Saccharomyces cerevisiae S288C: one gene and its partners. Changing the gene in region 1 together with any one later gene gives a genetic interaction. Each region holds a gene or a part of one and is shown on either strand. Other genes may lie near its edges. The genes, in order: COG8, YPT6, ARL1 and GYP1.

Region 1 (5,391 bases):
CAGTCTTGGTGTACGATTTAATACCTTTTATGGTGGGAGCTTTAGAGCCCAGAGTGAATTCATCGATAGCTAACGCATCGATACCGTAACCTGGAGCAACACCTGCCAGTTGAGGGTTAACGTTATCTTTGACTTGTTGAGATAAAACTGGCATGTAAATCACCCAAAATTTTGATAAAAATGAATTCAACCACGTAGTGGATTCAACGCGATCCGACAAGGTTTCTTCGACTGTAACTCTTTTCAAGTCATCTCTGATATTTCTGTTGAATCTTGTATATTCTGCGTTGTAAACGGTCGCAGTTCCCAAGAAGATAAATATCATAGACCACCATGAAAACCCAATGTAAGCAAATAACCATGAGAAGAAACAAGTTCCAAGAACGGTGGCTATATTACAGTACCAATCGTTATAAAAATTTTCCAGAATGTAAGCTTTTATAACCCTGGACATCTTTGTATTTGGCGAACCCTTTCCTGAAGCATGGAACTCACCAACATTTTGCCATGGAAATAACTTGTCGTCGGAATCTAGGTGAAATTTTTCCTTAATATCCTTTTCATCAAGTTTGCCTAAGTCGTCTAAGACGCCAGGCTTAGTAATCGAAGTGTCGAATTTATTTGGCTTCCTAGATGGTGCTGATCTGAATTCCTTCGGACGTAAACCTTCCAATGGCACGGCTCCTATGCTTCCCTGTGGGTTGGGACCGGGCAATTGATTGGTTTTTTGAGCGCTGGAGGCAACAAATATGTCTTTTGATGACTGTTTCTTACCTTCCGGGTTGGAGTCAGCAGTTTTCTGACCTTTAGACACATCAGAAACTGAATTTGAGGTCTTTGTGTCATTTGCGTCATGGTTAATCAGTTGGTGGTATTGATGGTGACCCGATGGAGCGTGATCAGAACCCCTTTCTTGTTGATTTATGACCTTTTGAGGTAAATTGCCTCCTACTTTCTTCTTCTCCTCCTCATGAAATAGGGTACTATCAGGTGGGGGATGGACTTGAGCTTTGATGCCAGTCATTTTTCTTGACTTTCAATGCGTAGCTCTACTTATTTTCTTTCTAGCAATATTGCGTATGTCAATAAACAAAGCTAGCTAATGATGCTCTTTATATTGTTAAGAAGAAAACTGATTAAATTAAGTAACGCTAAAAAGCAAAGTTGTCTATCAAAGTGAAATGTATCGCAATTGGAAAAGGTAAGTGCAATTCTAAAGGATGTAAGGTACAATTATCCCTTTTTCCCTTTCTGACTGCAGCAGTGTGTTGTAAAGGTATACATACATTCTCGTATTGTTGTTTCTCCCCCTTCTCGCGCTGGCGAAGAAGTGAAAAAAAAAAATAAAAAAATGGAAATTTCGGACGATCGTCATTTTGAAAATACATAGTGAGCCAATATTATACTAGGAGTATATATATTTAGAGGCCAGTTCTGCTCTCTTGTCAATTGCCCGGGCGAGCTGCTCGGTCGTAAACAAGCTAGTGTCATTGATTTTTTTTAGGAAGAGGTGGTGGTAGTTTCGATTCAGGTCGCAAAGACGGAATGAACAGTACACCAACTGCAGGCAAACGGAGTCACTCAGCTTGATGCTATTTAACCCACGAGTGAGGTCTTTTAATACGTATGTTATGCACTTATCAACGAATTGCAACATGACTGCATTTGTAGGTATTTTGTTTTCCCTTTTTGAAGTCCGAATCTTTTTGCTTGGCTCCTCTGGGGTCACTTCAACCTTATTAATTTCTTCTTCTTCTTTTTCTGCCTTGTTATCTATGCTTTTGCTTGGCTCTTCTGGGGTCACCTCAACCTTATTAATTTCTTCTTCCTCTTTTTCTGCCTTGTTATCTTTGGTATTTACTTCTTCCTCTTTTTCTTTTTCAGCCTTGTCTTCTGTTTTGTTTACTGTTTCATTTTCTATCTCATTTTCTGTTTTCCTTTCTGCTCCATCATCTTCGCCTTCCACTTTGCCTTGTACTTCCTCTTGTACATCTTCTATCGATTTATTTTCTGTCACATCTTCTTCATTGTTCGCTACGCTATCTTGTTTTTGATATTCTTCCTTCTTTGTTTCTTTCTCCTTTTCTTCAATTTCTTTCTCTTCGTTAGTCCCATTTATCCTTAGCACAGTACTTTCTAGTTCCTCTGGGAAAGGAATCTCTAAGTCATTTGTATCATACAAGAAGCTTTTCAGAAAGACATTCAAGGACATGTAGACATGTTCCCTGAGGACTTCAATTTTCCTCTTAACCATCATTTCAATTAAAGATTCATTAGAAGACTCAACGTCCAAAGGATATGATGCTATTTCATCGGTAATGAATTTGTATCTCATGGCTAAAAACACACTTAATAATGATTTATTAGTCTTTCCATCAAATGGTGGAATTGAATTCAAGTACTGTAGTATTTTCTTTAGTGAGTTTACTGATACATTAGTAGACAGTAATTTTACCAGCCCGGATAACATGGTAGTACTAATTTCGTTTAAAACTTTTTCGCAAACTTCATCCACAATGGTTGAACCAGGGAATCTTGACCTCAGGGAAGTAGTGTGTGTGTATAGCATGACGGCCTCCTGGTAATGACCTGTTCTGATACATGTGCGGGCCAAAAATGGTAGTTCCATCAAATCCGTAATGCTATCCAAATTTTCTAGTACAGTGACTAATGTGTCAGATCTAATGTCGTCCTTGTCATCTTCTTTAGTTGAAATTCTGTTTCTTAACCTACTTAATGCCTTGTGAAACTCATCCTCCTTCTTCTTTCTTGCCAGATTGTTACTCTCAGTCGTCATGATGCGACCTGTGTCGTTGTCTTCTTTATCGTCTTCCAAAAAGTCATCAATAGAAACGCTTTCATTGTTTATATCGTCATTTGTAACGTTTCGATCGGCTGCCTTATTAATATTAGTATCCAATTCCCATAATTGCTCCAAAGACTTGGCTATATCATCCAATTGAGCCCTATCATCGTTTTCAAGAATATTTCCGATAATCTGAGACGTATTATCTAGTAGTGTTTTCCTTATCTTTCTATCAAGGGCAGATAATTCAGCATCAATTTCTGCTATGTCTTCAGTTATGCTACCAGGAACAGCCCTAGATGAAAAATAACTTTCATAGTCTTTCGTGTTAGATTGTAGGATATCCTGTAGGAAATCAAGACTTAACCGTTTTTGTTCCTCTGTTAAATCATCAGAAATGAGGCTGTTTAGTATCAGCTCCATTTTACTCAATGATTATGTTTATTGTTGAAATATGTTCCCTCAAATGTCCTAACACTTCTATGATTATTTTTTCTGTGCTTCTCTTTTCAGTATGTTACTACGCTATATTTTTAGACATTGAAGCCATGATCGCGAGATCGATCTAATGTACGTATAAAAAGAAAATGGACTTCAAGAGTACAACTAACTAAAGGAAAATCCAACTCTTCCTATAAATTTAGAATTAGCATATTCAAAAAAGAAGAAACAAAGCACTCACGATGGGGGTCGAACCCATAATCTTCTGATTAGAAGTCAGACGCGTTGCCATTACGCCACGCGAGCTAAATTTCTTGAATTGTTGGGTAAACAAATATTACTAATACAAATGTTATTAGAAACCAAAAATGCACTTTTCCGGGGTTAATATATATGATTGAGTGATGGATGAAGAATGAGATAATTGTTTAAATTCTATAGTTGTCAAGCGCTGTGATACCAGATACACAAAATGTACTAGAGGTTCTCCTCGAGAATATGAAAATCCACAATAGAGAACCGATATTTCTGTGTAGGAATATTATTATTTCTTCTTTCATTTTGTATGTTCTCGTTCATTTTCCTAGCACATTATCAACCCTTTCATTTCAATTTCCATTAAAATTGGTGACTGTTTCTCAATATTTATTTGACCGTCTTATACCCAATATGGTAATATACCAGTAATATAAATACTAGTCGTTAGATGATAGTTGCTTCTTATTCCGAAAATGAGTATGGAAGTGTTGCATATGATAGGGCGGCTACAGTGATGGTAAACATAAGATACTTTAGCGGGAAATTAGCAACTGGAAGTTAAATTATCTAGACATAAGTGTGGCGGTCACGCTGAACGCAGGAGATCGGATAGATTGATAAGCTGATCAAGAACATTGATCGGTTTGTTGTTTAAAGAATGGTTTTTGAAAACGTTTGACCAGTTGCTTCTCCCAGACGCTTACCGATATGATGATAAAGATAATATCTTCAATTGAATACCCCGTGGATCAGCACGAATAACAGAAAAAAAGGGTGAAATTCACCGTAAGCATGATACGCACTACGTTCTTCTTACCTTTGCCAACGTGTTGTCTTTGACGTACGTAATTATGGGAGATCGTTGATGATTAGCCCCAGCTCACTTTCTTCTTAATGACTGACCCGCTACTATCAAAATTAAGGTGTCAAATATCATGATGAATGAGGTCTCTAGGCGACTCAATTATACATCTTTTAGAGATTTTTTTACTACTTGCAGATAATTTCTCAAGGGATTAGATTCAAATCTGGCTTGTCAATTACGCCCTTTTCAAGCTCATCAAATTGCGTATGTCATTCATGCTTCCATTAGGAACCATAGAAGCATGGCTGAAATGGCAATATACGGCTTCCCAATTTCAACTCTAAAGTAATGGCGGTCGAATTTAATCTATATTTTACAGTTTTATACGTACTTTAAAAGCAATCAGTAAACACCTCTGGTGCTATTCAAGGGTTTTTTGCCTTTATTTGTTACTGTCAATTGTCTGGCGCTGTGATAAAAAACAAGGCATAAAGCTCCCCCGTCATGAACATTAAGACTCGCTAGACGAGAGAGTGAAATATAATGCATTTCCTGATTTAAATGCGCTACAAACATGGTGTAAATCTGGCCCGGAGTGAGTGCTTGCCAATTTGGCTTCTAAGGGAGAAAGATCAAACCACTCCCAATTGCGTCATTTTGAAAGAGTGGCCACCTCGCGAGCGTCTGTCGAACTAACTGATGAATAAATATATAAGGAGAAAATCACTTCAACTTCGCTACAAGTAGTCACTATTTGTAGCAACTGTAAACGAACACATCAAAGAATAAGATTACATTCTATATCTAAGACTAAATTTTAAATGTCCGCTAAATCGTTTGAAGTCACAGATCCAGTCAATTCAAGTCTCAAAGGGTTTGCCCTTGCTAACCCCTCCATTACGCTGGTCCCTGAAGAAAAAATTCTCTTCAGAAAGACCGATTCCGACAAGATCGCATTAATTTCTGGTGGTGGTAGTGGACATGAACCTACACACGCCGGTTTCATTGGTAAGGGTATGTTGAGTGGCGCCGTGGTTGGCGAAATTTTTGCATCCCCTTCAACAAAACAGATTTTAAATGC
Region 2 (4,255 bases), on another chromosome or scaffold:
GATGAATTAGAGTCTTCCCAAAAAAAAGAAAGGAAGGGCAACTCGCTATCGCGAGGAAGTAACAGTAGTAGTAGCCTCCTGACTTCCAGATCTCCTTTTACGAAACTAGTAGAGGTTATATTTGCTAGGCCAAGACGGCATGACGTTGTACCCAAAAGGGTTTCATTGTATATTGACTATAAACCCCATTCATCTTCTCACTTAAAAGAAGAAGATGACTTGGTTGAGGAGATTTTAAAGAGAAGCTACAAAAACACTAGAAGGAACAAATCCATATTTGTGATCATTAATCCGTTTGGTGGTAAAGGTAAGGCGAAAAAACTGTTTATGACAAAGGCAAAGCCGTTACTATTAGCAAGTCGGTGTTCCATAGAAGTGGTTTATACAAAATACCCTGGTCATGCTATAGAGATCGCGCGGGAAATGGATATTGACAAATATGACACTATTGCTTGCGCTTCGGGAGATGGCATTCCTCATGAGGTGATCAATGGGTTATACCAAAGGCCTGATCATGTCAAAGCATTCAACAATATCGCCATTACAGAAATTCCATGCGGATCAGGTAACGCAATGAGCGTATCCTGCCACTGGACAAACAATCCTTCGTACTCAACTTTATGCTTAATTAAATCGATAGAGACTAGAATTGATTTGATGTGTTGTTCGCAGCCTTCTTATGCAAGAGAGCACCCAAAGTTATCATTTTTAAGTCAAACATATGGTCTCATTGCAGAAACTGACATAAACACTGAATTTATTAGATGGATGGGACCTGCAAGGTTTGAATTGGGTGTAGCCTTCAATATCATACAAAAAAAAAAATATCCTTGTGAGATATATGTAAAGTATGCTGCCAAATCAAAAAACGAGTTAAAAAATCATTACCTGGAACACAAAAATAAAGGGTCGTTAGAATTCCAGCATATTACTATGAACAAAGATAACGAGGATTGTGATAATTACAATTACGAAAATGAATACGAAACCGAAAACGAAGATGAAGATGAAGATGCGGATGCGGATGACGAAGACTCCCACTTGATATCTCGTGATCTGGCAGATTCTAGTGCTGATCAAATTAAAGAGGAAGATTTCAAAATAAAATATCCATTAGATGAAGGTATCCCTAGTGACTGGGAAAGATTGGATCCTAATATTTCGAACAACCTAGGTATCTTCTATACGGGTAAAATGCCATATGTGGCTGCTGACACTAAATTCTTTCCGGCAGCGCTTCCTTCAGATGGTACAATGGATATGGTTATCACCGATGCAAGAACCTCGTTGACGAGGATGGCACCAATCCTGCTGGGACTAGATAAGGGTTCCCATGTTTTACAACCGGAAGTCTTACACTCTAAAATTTTGGCATACAAGATAATACCAAAGCTAGGGAACGGCTTGTTCTCTGTCGATGGCGAGAAATTTCCTCTAGAGCCCCTTCAAGTCGAAATTATGCCACGCTTATGCAAGACGTTACTGAGAAATGGCCGTTATGTGGACACAGATTTCGATTCTATGTGACACTTTACTTAATCTTTTCCTTCGTACTGAACAATTAATCAAAAACTAGAATATGTCATTTCTATTTCTTCTATATTTTTTTTACGTTGTTGTTGTTTTTGTTGTTGTTTGATAACTTTATACACTCCATACTTCTTTATAAAAAGTTTTAATACCATTCTTTAATACAACCATGTTTAGTGAGTACTAGCTCCTACACATCAGATCGTCAAGTACATTATGATTATGATTATTATTAATATTATCAGTACAATTATTATGTGCTGGTAGTTCACTAAAAAATATGACGCACACAAAGAGTTCTCCTTATGCCCTATAGAACTGAAATATTAGGTGCTAACACTGACAAGCGCTTTGTTCCTGCTCCTCTGCTGTAGAAATATCAATGACTCCCGGTTTATTTTGGTTTGCACTATTTGCATTTTCGCTATCCAAAGGAGTTGACTCGCTGTTTTGAAATTCAGGCAGCGATTTGGCAATCTTTTTGAATAAAGCTTTGACATTATAGCCTGCCTTTGTGGACGTTTCCATAAAGATTTTAGCACCCAATAGTTTTGCTTTTTTCTCTCCCTCTTCGGTTGAGATTTGCCTTTCATCTGATAAATCACTTTTGTTACCAACAATGCACAATATAACATTTTCGTCACCTCTTTCATTTTTAACGTCTTCTATCCATTTATCAATATATTCAAATGATTTTCTCTTCGTAATGTCGTAAACGATAATAGCAACTCTCGAATCTCTGATATATGAAGGTATTAATGATCTAAATCTTTCCTGACCTGCTGTATCCCATAACTGTAATCTAATTGTCTTATCATCCAAATACATGGTCTTGGAAAGAAAATCTATACCAATCGTGGCTTGGTAATGATCATCGAACGTATCATACATAAATCTAGTGATCAGCGATGTTTTTCCAACACCCTGTTCTCCCAAAAAAACAATTTTGTACTTTGTCAATGATTTCCCGGATCTGCTCATTGTTAATCTCTTCTTTGTTTATCTTTTACTGTTCAGAATCAACAGCTTCAAACACTTCTTTTCACACAACCTTAAGTGCCCAATTGTGATATTCTTACATCATACATAGTAACAATCTATATATGGGCAATATTTTCCTCCACTAATTGAGCTGTGCTGAAGGCTTTATTACCCGGAAATTATTCGGCCATTTTTCACTAGAAGTTAATACCAGCACTAACGAATAGAAGCACCCTATTCTACTCAAGATGCCCGGTTCATGAATAGGGAGAAGTATTTTTCTTATTTTCCTTAGCCATCTATAAATATTTATCCTTATGCCTGTCACCACAATAGAAAAGGGTCCATTATATATCAGTTGTTTTCGTACCTCTAGAGAGACACGCAAGGGGCTTTATTTAGGAAACCTCCAAATTTGCTAGATGTAACCATTATACATAGTAATTACGATTGTAAAACATCGGAAAGAACGATATATCTTGCAAATAGCTTTTCTTTGGTAATATATGTATTTACTTAAAAAACGAGAACTAGAAAATACTGAGTAAATTTTTATTAGACGTTGTTAAAGGCCTTTTATTTCTTACCAGATTTTTTGATACCACCACCCACTAAAGGTTTACCACTTTTCATATTAGCCATCAAAGCTTTCTTAGCAGCAGCATCGGCCTTTTGCTTCTCTTTGAAGGCAATGTCTTCAGGATCTAAGTCCTGTTGTTGCTTCTTCTTTTGCTTTAGAGGCTTCATCTTACCACCTTGGCGACTAGACATGATTGCTTAGGGTTTTTCAGTTATTCTTCTGGTTTTGCAACTTACTGTGCGTGGAAGAGCAATCAATTACAGGATTTTAAACATGAAATTTTTTATTTTCCTCGTTCATTTTCGTCGCGGGAAACTTCCAGAAGTATAGATTTACTACAATTTTTATCTCAGGACAGAAAGAATAAACCAAAAAAGCCAAGACAAGCCAAGCCAAGCCGAGGCGACTGGAGGAGCTTTTCATCACATTCAATGACAAATCACAACAGGTTTCCCTGTTAGAAAAGGCATGTGCACTCACAATTCATATTTTCATACAGAAGATATACATTGGATTTCTGGAGATATCAGGTAAGGTTCGACAAAAACAATGGCGTTTGCCAACCCTTTATGATGGGTGATCTTGTATCCGCTTAATTGTGTGATCTAAAAAGGCAAAGTAACGTATTATTGGCTGGTTTATATAATTTGAATATGACTACTTTTTCAACGTTAAAAACGATAAATACTTGCTCAAAGGGTTCAGCGGCTAAATAAACTACGATTTCGCAGCAGGATCAGATGGATTCAATCACATCATTCGCAAAACATTCACATCATTCGTGAAGCATTAAAGGTAATAAGAAAAATAGAACAAAGATTTTTTAATCAGTGAGGACCACAAAGGGACAGCAAATACGGTGATAAGAATGGAAGGTTTGAAGAAAAAGATTTTTGGTGTTTGCCTGAAAAATGACTTAGCACAGACTAGGAATGAAACGAAAGGAATCCACTATGGGTTAATGACTTTGGAAACTTCTAAACAACTGCAGGAATTTCTCCATTTGCTAGTAATAAAGAGAGAAGTAATTCAAAATTTTGAGTTGTTATTTCACATCATAAATGTTGCCGTTAAAATCACCGATTCAAATCTTCCAAGTGATGATATCTGGCATTTCATTTTAAAATTAAGATTTTCTTCTGAGATTAATATAGACGAAGACTC
Region 3 (4,057 bases), on another chromosome or scaffold:
TATCAAATCTAAAAGAACTGAAGTCGAATAACGAGATTGTTATCTCTGATATCAAAACTAGGTCAGTACCAAAAATACCATCTATTGAGTCCGTTATAGAATCCTCTAAATTACAGACAATGTATTATAAGTTTTTTTTTTCCCACCTTAGTCAAGACATGACACAAACCTACCATAGCTTTTTAATCAATGCCCAGAGAAGAGGACTCGACGTTGATGCGCCCATAAATCCTACCAAGATTTTAACATTCATACTAACAAACCCACTCTTCGCTAATGATGTGAAGAACCTCCTGTACGGACTACCGATAAATCATTCTGCTTTCGATAACGACGCCAAAGGCTCTAATACATTTGATATGACCGCGTTCAATGATTTGCTGGATAGAGGTCCCACATCTTTTAACGTTCCGATTGAGCAAGACGAAGATAGTTCGGAGTCAACAAAATGTGTATCTTTGCGAGATTATGGACATTTTTATACGAAATGGAAGACACCTCTAACTTTGAAATACTTTGCGGCAAGGTTATCACAGATCTATTTTATTGTGGGTAATCTCGTTTCGAATGATTTAATGATAGAATATTATTACCATAACGATAATTTCCACAATATCATCTTCCCATATGATCCCTTGAAACTGGGAACCCATGCCCATGATTCTGCAATGGTTTGGTTTGGTGGCAGAGATATGCATCCAATTGAGCCTACTCAAAAAAACTTCAACACATACTGTAAGTTTTGTGACTACAGACACGTTTGTTCTTGGAAAAATAAAAATGAATTGAAACTTATTGATCTAGGGAAAGAATTAAAAAAAATTATTCTTGAATCAAGTATGAAGTAGTGTAGGTATTGTAACATTATTTATTCTAGTTATTAAAAGGGTGTTGTTTCGTGAATACATTGAAGTCCTTTATTGGGTTATTAAGCACATAAATCTGTTTCTGCTTTCGGACGTCCTGTTTCAATAAATCGGAATTGAAATGACAATTTAATTTAAATGTATATATGCAACTTTCATTAAGAGGTCATTAGGTATTTTAATGCGGCCTTCTCATTCATCGGAACGATGTAATTGCCTTTAGAATTAAAACCCAAAGAGAAACATGTATACACTTACTAACTCTATTATGTTTGGATAGAGCTCCTTGATAATTCAGTTACAAAACAAATTATATGTATATTCAATGCCATTTAAAAAGTATGCATCTACACTTTTTTTTTGCAAATCTTTATCGCTATAACTGTTCCTCTTTTATAACATCAATCAACCAATCTAAACCTTCGGTAATACCTTCGCCTTTAATTGCACTGGATGCTACGATAGACCAACTTCTGTCCTTCAATTCTACAAGATTCAGTTCTTTGGAGACTTCACTGGCACTTAATGCACCCGGTTGGTCTTGTTTATTTGCAAAAACCAGCAGTGCTGCATCTTGCAATTCTTCTTCCTGTAACATCAAATGAAGTTCCTTAGAGGCTGTAGACATACGATCTTTATCAGTCGAATCAACAACGAAAATAACTGCAGCAGTGTCTGCATAATAACACCTCCAGTAGGGCCTGATACTTGTTTGACCACCAAGATCCCAGACGTTCAATTTTAAGTTTTTATAACTTAGCGTCTCTACATTGAAACCAATGGTTGGCTTTGTAGTGACTACTTCGCCAATTTGTAAACGATATAAGATGGTAGTTTTACCTGCACCATCCAAACCCAAAATCAATATACGCAATTCTTTGTTTGAACCCCATAGTTTGTCAAACATTGAACTAAAAATGTTACCCATCTTGATCTATAACTCACTTTACTGGAACTTTCTTCTTAGATCTTTCTTTATTTTTCCTTTGGTTTTAGAAACCTTATTACTCACCGTTTCGTAAATACAAATGAACCACGCAATCCTTTACTACTTGAAAGTTCCGAGAACATTCTGCCTAATATTAATTGTCGTAAATCTAACTTTTATAGGCAAAATAGTTTTATTCAAAATTTCAATTGGAAAGGGCTCTGTTACCCGTCCTGTACGATGCAGTGGGTTTTGTTATTGTCATAAGAAATATTTAACCTACTCTTCCCATATATATCATAGAACACATTCTTAGTATGTTTTGAGAGCATCAATCTAACGTTGCCTTTGTCGTGATTTTGTGCGAGGAGGCGATATAAGAGCTAAACAGATTTTTTTATATTTTAATCAAAAAGCTAATAATTATGGCTTACTCTTTAACAAGGAAATTGCTGAAGGATTGGAAATATTTTATGCGCCATCCTGAGAAGACCCAAGGTCTTTTTCATGTAAGGCCACATGATTCAGACTTACATCTTTGGCACGTGGTAATGTACGAGCCCAGGACTTCTTTGGAAGTATATCTACTACTTTATATTGGCGGAAACGACCAGGATCCATATATCATCATGAAATGTCTGTCTCCAAATTGTTGCTTTCCAATTAACAGAACGGTTTCGATGACACACTTAAACTATCTTTTATTGAAAGACTTGGGATTACAGGATTTACTTTTCCACATATGGCAACCGCTTTTTCATATTCAAGCAACGGAAGACTTACAGTATTCACCGTCAACGGTAAAATTCAACAGGGCGTGGAATAGGATTATATATAAGGACTTTAAATCTTATTTTCCGGAACTGATAGGTACTTTACAACCAGGTGATTACTCTATAGTAAAGAGCTATTCCAAAAATCATAATATCAGCAATAGTAATGGTGGCAGTGTCAATGAATTTATGTCCTCTTACAATGCTCAAAGCCACACCTTTCACGCACAAGACAACAGCAAGAACCCTTATACTAACAGCAGCATAGGAAAGTCTAGTATGTTATCTACTCTCAACAATAATAACGTTAACAAAAGGACACATGACTACAATGCTATCGACTTTATGACCAAAAACTTACTTGCATGTGATGATGACAGTATTCATCCGGTCGTAAGTTCTAAAAGGTCAAGAACGTTGGCATGTCCAGATGAAACGAACGATAATCGCGGTAGTGAGCATTACACAAAGAGGAAAAAAATCTAATGGGTTTATTTTTACATAGAATAGTAGAACTTTCTTCCTTTTTTCACGATTTTTTGCATGGGCATTTGTCACAATATATATTTTTATTCAGTTATATAAATATACTCCTTTTCACAAAAGAAGGCCTAATATTATAGGAAATCAGCATTAAAAACATTATGTATTTCTTTTTTCAGCGGCCGAACGGTCACTAGAATGACTCAGAATGGTTTTTATCATCTCGTTGCCAATGAGATTAGCCTCTGGAAGCATTGGCTCAAAGAACTTTTGAACACTCTGAAATTGCTTTTTGTATATATCAAAATTGGCAAAAGAAACAACCGAGCTCCATTCTCTAGCCGAAATAACAAATTCTAAATCATCTTTTATGAATGATTTATCATGGATAGCTGCATCAATTGTCTGTTCTAATAAGCCAGGTTTTAAAAAAAGATATTCGGACACACCCAGGAATATTCTGAATAATGGCGTCGAACAAATCATATGATCATATGGATCAATACCAAGTTGAAACCACGAATCAACAATCGCCAACAATGATAAATGTGAATTCGGCACTGGCTTGCAATTGTTGCTGTTACCAATGCTGCTTTTTGATAGCGAATATTTCTCTAAAATCGTGTCATCCAATAGTAAGAGACCAGTATGCTTTCCAAATACAAATTGCTTAGCTTTTAATAGTCTATCAGTAAGTTCTTGTTCTTTGTTATCTATCATTAAACTAAATAGTTCTGTTGCACTGGTTGCATATTGAAGAATTTGCTGATGTGCACTTGGGTTTGTTATGGCTAATCCTGCGTAAACATGCCACTTGTTCGAATAGATTCTTAGTGATATATTAACTTTCACATTTTCTAGGCCACCGTACCATTTGTTTACACCCAGAGTCCAAGGATAAATCTTTATCTTTGCCCACGCAGATCCCATACTTAAGAAAGCAGCATGTGTCACAGCTTGTGTATCAGCGGTAATCTTGTCATGCTCTTCATATGTCAAATAAACTT
Region 4 (5,502 bases), on another chromosome or scaffold:
CGATGGGTGTGATGCTGGACGACTATATTAGGTCATTGGCAAGCGTAAAAGCAATTTTCAATCAGAGATCCAAATTGGGGTATTTCTTGGTAGTAATAGAAAATGACATGAATAAGAAACACTCACAATTGGGCAAATTGGGTCAAAATATTCATTCAGAAAAATTCAGAGAAATGAGAAAGGAATTTCAAACATTGGAGAGAAGGTATAACCTTACAAAAAAACAATGGCAAGCGGTAGGAGATAAAATAAAAGATGAATTCCAAGGTTTCTCTACTGATAAAATTCGGGAATTCCGAAACGGCATGGAAATATCACTAGAAGCGGCCATTGAATCTCAAAAAGAATGCATCGAGCTTTGGGAGACATTCTACCAAACCAATCTTTAGATGATCTGTATACAATAACTTTATGTGTCACGTTCCTCAGGATTTATGAATTAGGAGATTTTTGTTTTATATTATTACATACTATACAGTAAGTAAAATGAATAGGTCCGTTTACAGCCAGTGCGACGTAGCATCTTTGTAAAGAGATTGCCAAATAAAGGCTTCGCTCAGAAGCATTTCAATATCCGTTTCAGTCCAGTCCTTTGTAGGAGGGTTCTGTAAGAAAGTTATAGTTTCTTGGAAATCCATTTCCATTAGCTGGTCACTCCACTTGATGAGGAATGCAGCACAAACAAACACATGAAACTCATTCAACGAAGACTGTCTCATTTTTCCACTGTCTTCAACAGCATTGTTTGGTGTCATATTAGAAAGAGCTGTGGTGGGAGATTGGAAATCTTTTGTTGGTGTAACAAAACTTGCCACTCGAGGTTCTGTTGGAGTAACAGGAGGTTTAATGTCATTGGACGACATAGAATAAGAAGAAGTGACCTCTTGTGAAGTTTCAGATAAATATGTGTCCCACATCCTTATTACTGTACCCATTTGAAATTCTCTCATCAAAAGGCAATTCATCCATCTGAATGCAAACTGTATAAACTCCACATGTTCATTTTGAAAATGGTTATATAGATCAGCATCAATTCGTTTCACTAGCTGACTCAAATTCTTCACTTGTCTTAATATGCCTGGTTGTCCGTGAATATAGTTATCGGTAATTTGTTCGAGCAATTTGGTAAGACACCAAAACGTGTCCGCTTCTAAATCTGTAATCTGTTCATCTACCATATAAGTAGAGGGGTCCTTTATCTCTACATCATCTATTTGTGAAGGCGGCAGATATTCGGTAAGAAAAGTCTCGAAAAATGGTGTAACTAAATCATTAATACCTTGCACATATCCGCTAGCAGGATGCCTGATTGCCCAAAGATATAGTATTCGTTGTAAACTGTTCTGTACGGATTTGAACTGGTAGAGGGGAATGTGGGGATTTGTTCTCGGTATATCTATCTCTATCTGATGCCAAGTTGGGATATCTCTTGAGTGCTGGTCAGAAAAGGTATGTTTCAGACTATCCCTATATTCTTTCCTCTTCCTTTGTAAGAAACCCTCCTGTCTCTTGGTGTTCACAGGCAAATAACCTATTAATAATTTCCAAACAACAGGCCTGTGTATTTTTGGGATACCATTCCAACTGATCTGGCGCAGATCCTGTTGATTTATGATTGTCTTATCTTTCAAAATATTGTCAAATTTAGAAATGCGCTGGATGATGGAGTTTAATTCTTGAACATCCCGTTCGTTTTCGATTTCCAACTGAGTTTTCTTGGAATCATTTGTTTTCTCTTTTTGCAGCTGTGGTAATTGAGGGTATGTAAAAGAGGAGGAAGAATTCCGTACTGCGGAGGTCCCCATATTCGAAATCGAATTGATGGAAGAAGAAGTGGATTTTCGCGACAAAGTTCTCGTTGGAGCTACAGGTGTACCAAATCCACCGTTAGTAAGTATAGGAATAGGCATATTATAATCGTCAATAACAGCACTCCAATCCTCATCTAAGTCTTTGAAATATCGATCACCCTTTTTGTTAGGCTCTGTACTGTTACTGCAATTGTTGCCTACACTACCACTACTGCTATGGCGGGGTTGTTGATGGTGGTGATGACGCTGGTGATGCTGACGTAAGAGTAAAGCAGGCCGGGGACTTTCGTTACTTGCAGTGCTTAGAGTGGGGTTTACATATCGTAGAGGTGAATAGGAATTCGAGGTACGTCTAGTGCTTGCTTGTTGCTTTGCCATAGCTTCAAAATTACCGTCACTGGTTCTCCGATCTCTATCTGCCGAGGAAGCATAACCCGAGGGTAAACTAGTAGATTCAGTAGTATTCATTTTGTATAACGATGGCTTCTTGGAGGAAGAAGCCGACGATATCCTCCAAGATTTCATCAGGGAAGTTACTAAACTGGAACTGTCCGAATTATGGTCCCGTTCGTGCATTTCCTTTGCAGCGGATCTCACACCCATTATATGGTTACTTTTATTAAGTGGTCGGTATTGGTGGTTGTTGTTGTTATTTGTATCCTTGATCTACTCTCCAATAATAGTTATAAAAATAGAAAGAAAACAAAACAATTAACAGCAGGACAAAAGCCAAACACTATAGCAATCTGGCTATATGATATGCAGAAAATAGTGATTACTGTGCTCTTTGCTGCATCATGCATCATATGTTTGGCATTCTGTCCTGTCAGATGAATGGGCGAAACAATTCGGGGAGCTTTGTTGCGACTTGGTACCCGGCAAGCCGCGACCTATATTTTGCATTAAACGAGTTCATCGTGGATTTATCGCCATGAGCCTTAGCTTATCAAGCCTCTCACAGACAATTAAGCAATGAAAAAGGTATACCATCGGCGCAGAATGGTTAACTAGTGGGTTCATACTGCTGTGTTATAGATTGTTACCTAAGTGATCACCAAAAAAAAGTGCAAAAAGGAAAAAAAAATAAGAGACAGGTAACTTCCACAAGCTTATTCTTCCAAAAATCAATCTTATCTTCATGCCAGCAATAGTTGCGTGCTGAGCTCAACAGTGCCCAACCCTTGTGCACCGTAGAATTGTAGAATACAAATACATAAATAAGTGTGTTCCCGAAGGACTAAGGAATGACGGCAGAGGAGTCTTGTGACCGCCCTGCTGCAAAACTTGGCAAGGACAGAAATTAAGTAATAGATACGCACAACCTTGGAGCACCAAGAAATGGCTGCAAAAGTAAATCTATAGTATTTCAAGCTGAGATATGATAATATGTTCAAAGGGCTAAAGTCTCATGAAACAGCGTCACTACAAGTCACATAAAGTTCGTACAGCAAGTCTATGCATGCTTTCCTCAAAAGAACTACCCAAATATAAACACATATACAAAAATTCAGATTTTACATTTCAGGTTTCCATAATATGTTAAAAGCTAGATCTTACATAGTGTCGGGAACAGGTCATTCTAAAAAAAGTAAAATAAAATAAAAGGGTTTCAAAGATCCATACTTCTCTACATTCTCTGACTTTTTAAAACTGTGTACTGGCGACCAATCGACAAATCTGCAACCCCAGCTTCATAAGCTTTCTCTCCCACCAGCAAAGCCTGGACCTCCCTGGTTCTAATAATGAGCGACTGAAGTTTTCCAAAAGAAACCTTCACTAAACATGTTATGCTCCTCAATCACGCGATGAAATAAAGGCCTATTTTTTGATCCAACGCCTTTGAAAATTTCCTTATGGCTGGGTGGGGTACCTACCATGAACATGTTAAAGGTAAGTGGTGGCATATTATGGAGTTACGCCCGTATACCAGAGTAATAATGTTGCCGCCGGATAGGCATGGCGCCCCCACCGGATTCTCTTGCTATATGGATGGCATAATTAGCTTATGAAAGGATTGGTAAGAATATGTCTTCTAGCAAGAAAATACTAAGAACCAATAGTTCCTTTTTTTATAAAATTATTGAGCCATACACAATAATGCCGATATTTGTCACCATAGACATACTTGACAGTAAAGTATTTGCAGCTGAGGATCGATCTGGTAGTATTCCCAAATTGTAAGATCTGTACAGATTTTCAAATGAAGCGTTGAAGTTTCCTCTTTGTATATTTGAGATCTTCATTTTATCGGATTCTTTGTCATCAGACAACTTGTTGAGTGGTACTAAAGGAGTGCTTTTCATCATCCTTTTGGTGAACGATTTCAAATACGTTAGTGTTTTCTGAGCTAGTTTTGATCAATTCAGGTGATTCGTTATCAGAACTCTCAGGTTTGTATTCGTGTCCAGTTGTGTAGCATTCGCCTAACGTGTAAGCACGGATTTCTTCCTCAGAAATTTCACTGTATGGAATCATGCCCTTCTTTCTCGCTTCTTCGTCGGTAAATGCACCATAGTAATCTTTGTCATCATGTCTAACAGTAATTTTGAATGGGAAGAAGACACATAGCCCCCAGTAAACGAAAAAAGAAATCAAAAAGGAGAAGAAAGAATCACCATAAAAGAATTTAACAATACCTGAGTCGTGGAAATAGTTATTGTTGACTTCCCAAGCGATACCAGGTAGACCGGGAGCCATACCACACACCCAGGCAACGATAGCTCTCCAGTTGACACCCTTGGTAAAATAGTATTCACCCTTTAGAATAAAGGCATTAGTAATGGAATATTGCCTCTTCCTGATCAGAAAGTTATCACAGATCATGACAGCAATAATAGGAGTCATGACAACACCGAAAGAACTCATGACAGTTAAGAAAGTAGAAGAAGAGTTGTAGAAGTTCCATGGCAAACAAGCCCAGGAGATACATGCGCAAAAAAGAGCACCTCTCTTGATATCGACGTATTTGGGCAACAAACCGGCCATATCCATACCAGTGGCAAACCCACAGTTGGAGATGGTGGAGGACATTTGAGACATGGTAAAGCAAAGACCACAGAAGAAGGCACCTGCGCGAGCGCCTGCAGAATAGTTGTTTGTCAACCAATAATCGAATATATCCATGGGCATCCAAAATTGTTTACCGTATAATTTGTCGCAGGTGGAGGCACTAATGACACCGAAGATTGGGACCAAGGTTGCTGGGATTAGTAATGCACAGACGCTACCGGTCCAGATAGCCAAATTGGAGGAACCGAATCTTGAATAGTCACTTTGGTTGGTGGAACCTGGAGAAATGGAACCGAACCAGTATGAAATCATGTAAACCCAAGCCCATGCTCTTTTAGAACCAGTAACGGTAGATTTTGTGGAGGTAAACAATTCACCGACACCATGGGCATTCTTAGTCAAGTAAATCACTATACCCAGCATGGCAAAGCAAGTAGCTACACATGACCAAATTAAAAGGTAGTTCATATGGTAGGGTTTCATGAAATAGCAGAGCGCGGTGAGGACGTGGAAAATAATGAAGCCGACCAACTGCTTGGTGGTCATGGCAACACTTGGGGACAAAGTATTGGGCAGGTGCAGATAGTGGTGGGACCAGGAATCTAATATCATGTTGATAGATAGACCACCCAACCAAGCGTTGGAACCATAATTGACAATACTCATCAAAATTCTAATGATG

Evidence for each region.
Region 2: mutations in COG8 (region 1) and YPT6 together harm fitness more than expected from each alone (negative genetic interaction), as found in Saccharomyces cerevisiae (5 studies listed by BioGRID, with this or other methods).
Region 3: mutations in COG8 (region 1) and ARL1 together harm fitness more than expected from each alone (negative genetic interaction), as found in Saccharomyces cerevisiae (6 studies listed by BioGRID, with this or other methods).
Region 4: mutations in COG8 (region 1) and GYP1 together harm fitness more than expected from each alone (negative genetic interaction), as found in Saccharomyces cerevisiae (6 studies listed by BioGRID, with this or other methods).

The regions. Positions count from the first base shown.
Region 1 is NC_001145.3:128,344-133,734, forward strand, and holds COG8 (Golgi transport complex subunit COG8), read right to left. Parts: upstream 3,230-5,391; coding exon 1,406-3,229; downstream 1-1,405. Other genes in the region: TCB3 (Tcb3p), read right to left, coding at 1-1,024; DAK1 (dihydroxyacetone kinase), read left to right, coding at 5,132-5,391. UniProt on the Saccharomyces cerevisiae protein: Acts as a component of the peripheral membrane COG complex that is involved in intra-Golgi protein trafficking.
Region 2 is NC_001144.5:666,381-670,635, forward strand, and holds YPT6 (Rab family GTPase YPT6), read right to left. Parts: upstream 2,512-4,255; coding exon 1,864-2,511; downstream 1-1,863. Other genes in the region: sphinganine kinase LCB5, read left to right, coding at 1-1,527; VPS63 (Vps63p), read right to left, coding at 1,857-2,183; TMA7 (Tma7p), read right to left, coding at 3,088-3,282; RED1 (Red1p), read left to right, coding at 3,960-4,255. UniProt on the Saccharomyces cerevisiae protein: Protein transport. Might participate in post-Golgi transport.
Region 3 is NC_001134.8:566,633-570,689, forward strand, and holds ARL1 (Arf family GTPase ARL1), read right to left. Parts: upstream 1,795-4,057; coding exon 1,243-1,794; downstream 1-1,242. Other genes in the region: EXO5 (Exo5p), read left to right, coding at 1-848; UBS1 (Ubs1p), read left to right, coding at 2,220-3,053; TYR1 (prephenate dehydrogenase (NADP(+))), read right to left, coding at 3,210-4,057. UniProt on the Saccharomyces cerevisiae protein: Recruits golgins such as IMH1 to the Golgi. Can bind and hydrolyze GTP. May be involved in trafficking events within the endosomal system.
Region 4 is NC_001147.6:455,407-460,908, forward strand, and holds GYP1 (GTPase-activating protein GYP1), read right to left. Parts: upstream 2,415-5,502; coding exon 501-2,414; downstream 1-500. Other genes in the region: VPS5 (sorting nexin 1), read left to right, coding at 1-389; NRT1 (nicotinamide riboside transporter), read right to left, coding at 4,074-5,502. UniProt on the Saccharomyces cerevisiae protein: GTPase-activating protein (GAP) that stimulates specifically the intrinsic GTPase activity of Ypt/Rab-type GTPases YPT1 and YPT7. Functions on the Golgi as a negative regulator of YPT1. Functions on the vacuole as a negative regulator of YPT7.